Schizosaccharomyces pombe: one gene and its partner. Changing the gene in region 1 together with any one later gene gives a genetic interaction. Each region holds a gene or a part of one and is shown in the gene's direction. Other genes may lie near its edges.

What was found.
Region 2: mutations in vrg4 (region 1) and alg5 are lethal when combined (synthetic lethality), as found in Schizosaccharomyces pombe (one study listed by BioGRID).

What each region holds. Positions count from the first base shown.
Region 1 is NC_003424.3:4,688,068-4,691,825, forward strand, and holds the start of vrg4 (GDP-mannose transporter Vrg4), read left to right. Parts: upstream 1-2,073; 5' UTR 2,074-2,102; coding exon 2,103-3,140; 3' UTR 3,141-3,758. Other genes in the region: SPOM_SPAC144.17C (6-phosphofructo-2-kinase), read right to left, coding at 1-395, 446-764. UniProt on the Schizosaccharomyces pombe protein: Involved in the import of GDP-mannose from the cytoplasm into the Golgi lumen.
Region 2 is NC_003423.3:4,090,042-4,093,799, forward strand, and holds alg5 (dolichyl-phosphate beta-glucosyltransferase Alg5), read left to right. Parts: upstream 1-2,115; 5' UTR 2,116-2,286; coding exon 2,287-2,343; exon of another isoform or gene 2,344-2,498; coding exon 2,499-3,410; 3' UTR 3,411-3,711; downstream 3,712-3,758. Other genes in the region: homoserine O-acetyltransferase Met6, read right to left, coding at 1-785.

The sequences.
Region 1 (3,758 bases):
GTTTGCGATGATGGTTTCAGCAAAATTAATCATTTTAACAAAGGAATAGTCCTTTTCATCAATGGTTTCATAATGGCATTTGAGAATATCAATTCGACGACAATATTCTTTTTCGGCCATCTCCAAATCCCAATTTCGAAATTCCTCAGAAACATGAATTGCTTCTTGAATATTCGCATTGATGACATCCTCTTTATTGCACAGACTTTCAATAAACAAGATTTTAAACCCGCAATTCTTGAACCTATCATATAAAATACGACGTGTACGTCTAGTACCATTTGTTGCATCGTAAATAGCAACCTGACCTTTCTCTTTAAGTAAAAAAATCTCTAAGTCTGCTAAACATCTCTCAATTGTGTCATTCCTACTAAAAACATGATTTTCTGATGCAGCTGTTATAAGTTAGCAAAGGTACAAAACGTCGACTATAGTTTCAGCTTACCAGATTTCACAGGCGAACTAGTCATTTCCCTAGTGCGTTCGTCTATGTATTTCGCAAGACTGTAAAATCTACAATTAAATCCCAACCACCTCAGATATCTGTCTATCGACACAGCAATATTAGACTTGCCTCTAGCCGGTAAGCCAGACATGATGATTACGAGCTTTCCGGCATGAAAGAGCATACCGCTCTCTGTACTGTAGGGTTGCACACCTCCAAACTTTTCATTATCGAGTAAGGCTTCAGAGCTTCGATTGGCAGCGCGAAGCATGTTTGGATTGATTGCCTGCTCAACCGCAATTGAATTTCTGCGCGACATCGCAACGTCTAATCAAAGCAAGCTGTTTATAATTAGAGTTTTAATATAATATATGCGATTATATATAAATTATTTATAAATTAAATAGGAAGGTCCAAAATCTGATTGAAATGTACTTAAATCCTTTGCAACCACAATGTTTACAATGTGTGCCTTGTATGTGGGTATTTTGATAAATGATTTCCACAAAGGTGAAATATGCAGAATGTTGTTTACAATGAGTGTAATACCAATTCCTACTAAAAACTGCGGTTTGCAAGAGGTCGACTGCTTATATACAGAGAAGAGCTTCTTACAATTGATATGGGCACAATGCTCGTTTAAGACGGATGGCTAAACATCGGTAGTGCTTTACGCAATACATCTGTGGTTGCACTTCGTTAATTAATTTTTAGCAAAGTTAAGCGTGCCCTAATATACCGTACATATCTGCAATTGGAAACGCCCATAGGAGTTTAAGATGCGTAGCTTTCTAATGGTGGGGTATTTTCGCATACTTATACTACATGTTTTGCATTTGCAAGTTCAGTTGATTTTTGATTATTGAAAGTGGCATTGAGAATTACTGAACACTTCCCAACAACTCATAGATTTTTTTAGCCAATTCCATGATTAAAACATGCGAGTACCTAAACGCATGTATATTATTTTATAGTTGTACTTCATCAATCGTCTTCTCTGCGTCAACACTTCTTTCTGCACTTTTACTTTTGAAATAACGTCTTAATAGCTATTATGGTTTAAAGACTAGACTATTATCTACGAAAAAGCGTTTGTAAGTAGCCCACATTGCATTCGTTTATAAATTTATAGTCCAATTGAACGAAACGAAAGATCCATGTAGAAAGGTCATTGTCTATACGGTTATACTCCAATCATCTATTATAATATGAGTCAATTCCCTTGCCTCTCTAGTTCCAACAAATGCTTAAATTGTATATGTATCTGCATCGCGACTTTATATATGATCGACTTCGACTGGAAAACGATCTTCATACACTAAGGAATTTCACAACAATTCAAACACAGCTTTTACAGTAAATGCTCATACTTTGTTGTAAAACATATGAATTGGTGTAACATTAAGTGTGGCTTGCAGGCGAAAATACTCTTTTATAGATGAACAAAAAAGTATTTAAATAATTATATTTTATATGAGAAGACCAAGTTATTTAAGTTTGATCAACAGAGATGTTAATCAATCTGTATGCCAAAACTTGTTACCAATGGACTGTGTCTTTGAGGAAGGGTAAGGCCTGTTACGTACGCGCTCCTTCCAAACATGGTGGGTAGGTATGTAGACAACTTCACCGGAGCCATCACGAAATTCCAACAACAATGGATAATCATATGCTAAACCGAATTAGTAAATCACCGATTCTTCCAGTGGTGTCATATTGCATGGCTTCCATATTGATGACTTTGACCAATAAATATGTTCTTTCGAGTCCTGGTTACAATATGAACTTTCTCCTTTTGACTGTACAATCCACTGTTTGTGTAGCAGCCATTGGGATACTAAAACGTTTGAAAGTTATTAATTATAGGGATTTTGATTTTCGTGAGGCCAAATTTTGGTTTCCTATTTCCTTTTTATTGGTAGCTATGATTTATACTGCATCGAAGGCTTTGCAATTTCTTTCTGTTCCAGTGTACACTATATTTAAGAATTTAACTATTATTATCATTGCTTATGGTGAGGTCCTTTGGTTTGGCGGGCATGTTACTGCTTTAACTCTTTTTTCTTTTGGATTAATGGTTCTTTCTTCTATTGTCGCTGCTTGGGCAGACATCCAGTCTTCCTCATTTGCTTCCCAAACCTTAAATTCTGGCTATTTATGGATGGTGCTTAACTGTCTCACAAATGCTGCTTTTGTTCTCGCGATGCGTAAGCGTATCAAACTTACCAACTTTCGTGACTTTGATACCATGTTTTATAACAACTTACTCAGTATCCCTGTTTTGGTTATCTGCACGCTCTTTACTGAGGACTGGAGTGCTGAAAACATTGCTCAAAATTTCCCTCCTGATGCCAAATTTGGTGTTCTAATGGCTATGGCTATTAGTGGTGTTTCTTCAGTAGGAATTTCTTACACCTCTGCCTGGTGTGTACGCGTAACTTCTTCGACAACTTATAGTATGGTTGGTGCTCTTAACAAACTTCCCTTGGCTATTGCCGGTTTAGTGTTTTTTGATGCACCCATCACTTTTGGATCTGTTACCGCTATTTTGTTGGGCTTTATTTCTGGTGTTGTTTATGCCGTTGCTAAATCTCAACAGCAACGTCAGAAAGATCCTGCTACCATCCTCCCTATGACTCATAATCCCGTTAGTGCTAGTTCTCAAAGCATGCGCGATAGTCTGTCAAAGTCTTAAACCCTTTGTGTTGGTTATTATTTATGTTTAATTTGCAAAATTTTTTCAAGCCTGCATAAGAGAATAGACTTTGTTTCTTTTTACTTAAAAAGTTTTTATTACCGTTACTCAAAATATACCGCTTTTACTCGTGTTCGATAAAAACCTGATTACGAGATCGTGTCGTTTATTACAACGTGACTATTAGGTTTGAAATATTTTGACAGATAAAACACTGACATTCAATTACAATTTTTAGACCTCTATTATTTCATTTCCTAAATCATTTGCTTTTTTTTTCTAAATATCATTTCTTTCTTTAAAATGCTCTCCGATGGAAAAAGGACGTCTAATGTTCTTATGTCTTCGTTTCCTTTTACTGAGCTTCTAAACTATTGGTTGAATGTTTGTCAGCCGCTTGGAGTCGAATTGTTTAGTGATTCAATTTTACTAATATTTTACCTCCAAAAAATTATTTGTTTTTTTGTATATTATTGAAATACTGTAATAAATACAAATACGATAGCTAAGTTAACGAAATGTATCGTGCTAAAAGTTTTCATAGGCCGTCACCTTTCAGTAGGCAAAAACCTACCAACTACCAAAAACGAAGTACAAGAGGTAATTCGTTGCTTGAAC
Region 2 (3,758 bases), on another chromosome or scaffold:
TCTGGATAGGGGTGACGAGACGCATCAGGAACAGTACGGGCAAAGCGACGTTCGAAAGAACATTTGGAGCGATATGTCAACAAGGCAGACATACGAGCAGCTCCAAGGCCACTTACAGGCTGATCGTCTATGCCGTAGTATCCATCATTAAACTTAGGGTCAGAATATATACTCTGGCGTTGCGCTTCAGACCAGCTAATGCACCACGCGGAATGACGAAGAGAGGTAGAAATGGGAACAATTGATCGCACAAATTCCTTATCAAATGCCCACTCCAAAACCAGCATACCACCCATGGAGCCACCTACTGCCATAGCAATTTGCTTTACACCCAATCTTTGTAAAATAAGTTTATGGATGTTTACATCATCACGTATGGTTGCTAAAGGAAATTCTGGCCCATAAACACTATGAGTCTCAGCGTTCCATGTAACAGGAGAGGCGCTTCCGTATGGGCTACCAAGAGAATTAAGGCATACGATAAAGAAATGTGATGGATCAAACGCACGACCAGGACCGAGTAAAGGACCCCACCAATCTCCAGCATCAGCAGAACCACTTAAAGCATGACAAAGAAGAAGACAATTGTTTCCTTCTTTATTCAAAGTACCCCAAGTCTTGAAGGCAACGGGAACATCGTAAAGGATGTCGCCACACTCCAACGTAAATTTGGGAACAATTGCAATTTTTTGATCTGAAATAAGCTGAACAAATTTATTTTCTTGCTGAGACGGATGACAGGAGTCAGTAAAGACAATTGATTCAATCGGAGATTGAGATTCCATTTTTATCAAACGATTGATAGTCAAATTTTGAAAAAATGAAAGAAACTAAATTTTTTGATAGAACTGAGTTCTCAAAGATGTAACTAACAAAACTCAATGGTAGGAGTTTTAAATAACCAAAAAAAAATTTTTTGACAAAAGCAGATTAGTGTAAGGTTTAACACAAAGAATGAATTACTTGCTTTTGTGTTGAGTAAGCAAATACAATTAGCTTCTCTTCTTTTAAGCGTGAAAAACAAAAAATCGAAAAACCAGAAAGTTTTTACGAAAAAAAACCAAAACTAACGGTATTGCGCAGCAATAAAAATTTTAGGTTTTTTAGTACCAGGAACGGTAAGCAACTATATTTGCTAATTTGTTAAATTCCAAAGTTACCCAAAAACACTTGAATACCAAGATTTTTTTTCCTATTCGGTTATGGTGAAAGGAGAAGTGGTAAGTTTATAAACTTTTATCTCAACCTAATTTAACGGTCTGCTTAGTATTTTGTTAGACAACATTAATTGAACGGTAATCAATAACCGAGTTTGGTATACGGGTACTTCATAATATGCTATTCAAACAACGAGACTTTTTTGTTATCTTATATAAATATAACAGTTTTAACCGTAATTTCAGTAAAATCATGTATGAAAAGGATGAATTTATTAAAAAAATTACAAAGGCTAATGTTTTATAAAAAGTCATTTCATGGATCAGGACTCTGCGAGATCAACTTTCGAAGATAAACGAATCGATAAGGAAAAGGTGTAATAATGTTAAATAAACAGGCGCTTGGTCTAAATAATGATTACTTGCTAGTTTCCTTAAATTTACAATTAATTGACTTGAAGCCAATTTTAAACAAGTGTTTTCAACGTTAAGTGTTTTAGTTTATCAATTTACAAATGAAGGAATACTCAAGACATATTTTATGACCCAGCCAAACCTGTAGTTCATCCTATTCAAAAAGGTTAAGGCAATTGAACAACTTGCGCCCTTAATACTAAGTAGCCGTAAGATATATCATACGATGTTCCATGAAAAAATATTTATATCCACGCAGAATTACAGTCATGTAAGTTTTTTAGGAAAGAGTAAAGGCACCTATTCTTTTAATACAATGTCTCCCAAATAGTCAAAATAATTATATAATTATAACAAGTATGCTTGACTTTTGTGATCTATCAGAAGTTGAGCAACAATGAGAGTCTATTGTAATCGATATGTCTATGCTTAATTGCTTGTAAAAGTAGACATTTTAAGTTGTTGACTGCTACTCACCAACTCGTACTAAAAAATTCGTCTGCTATGACTAAACGATTACTGTTGTCCAGTCCAGTCGGCAGTTAGCCAGAGCCAAACACAAATAATCCCACCGCATGCTTTGTAACTGCAAAAGCTCGGATTTCATTAAAAAATAGCTTAGAGTATAAACGGAGTGGAGTAATTTTTTTTTTGAATGAGTTATTTCTTCCAATATCATAAATCTTAACCCTTCTGCTTTTTGCATAGTTACGACATGGTAGTATACATCGTTTTATACACCTGCCTTGCGGGATTTATCCTTTTGTTCTTGGTAAGCAATATTAGCTAGCATGCTTCTCATTCATGTCCACCCGTCGGTAAATAAGGTCGTTGCGGGCAGAACCTGTTTAGTTTATCTGTACTTTCGATTTTTTGATGTGACATTAGACCAAATTTTTCCCCGAATATTCATTAACCCAAATATAGGTTTACTATTATTTAACTCATTCTCATTGCCCGAGGAAGCAACTGGAAGGAGAGGAAACATGTGTATTCATTGAGAACGGTCAAAAAAAAAGTTTGACTCTTGAGAAGTGGAGCACTTCTGATAATATACAAATAACGGTCATTGTTCCCGCGTATAATGAGTCTAAACGAATCGGAAACATGCTCCAAGAGACAGTCGATCACTTGGAAAAATATTATCGTTCCTCTTCTTCAGCAGGACAACGTCGGTGGGAGATCCTTATAGTTGACGACGAGAGTAAGGATACGACGGTGAATGCAGTGCTAGAGTTTTCTAACAAACTGGATTTGCGGGATCATTTACGAGTTTGCTCACTCAAACGGAATCGTGGTAAAGGCGGTGCGGTAACTTGGGGCATGTTGTACGCTAGAGGTCAATATGCAATTTTTGCTGATGCAGATGGTGCTTCTCAATTTTCTGATTTGGAGCTCCTTTTTAAAAATATGCCACCCGGACCAAGGGGTGGTGTCGTTGTTGGCTCGCGTGCTCATATGGTGAACACGGCTGCAGTAGTAAAGCGCTCATTTATTAGGAACTTTTTGATGCACTGTTTTCACAAACTTTTACAAATCTTAGGGATCAGGGAGATTGGCGATACGCAATGTGGCTTCAAGCTTTTTTCTCGTGAGGCATATCAAAGTATTTTCCCTCGTATGCATGTTGAAGGATGGATTTTTGATATTGAAGTATTAACACTTGCTCGTTTTTTCGGTTTACCTATCATTGAAGTTCCCATTACTTGGCATGAAGTTGGCGGTAGTAAAATGACTCTCTTGAAAGACAGTATTTCAATGGCAATCGATTTGTTGGTAATTCGGTTGAACTATACATTTGGTATATGGGAAAGGCCCTCGGCTAAGCGTATTACTTAATTGGACGTATTGTTGTGGATGTTATTGTTCATTATACATTTTTCCTGAGATATAATTAAATTATGAGAGATACATAAGAATTTTTAGGCGGTTCGTTTCCTATTACTCTTTGTTCCTTTTTTATTGATTGTTTTATCTCCAAGCGGAATATTCTATCTTTGAGTAAGCGATTTTCTACTTGCTCGATTTTTTTTCAATGTTGTAAATACTTCTCATTTCCCCATATATGTACTTATGACGTTCTTTTTATGAAAAATTACTTGACTAATAAATTTACTAATTAAATTCTTTTTAATATTCACAGTTCGTGGTAGTAAGGAACATAATAGATGTATTGTTATTATTACG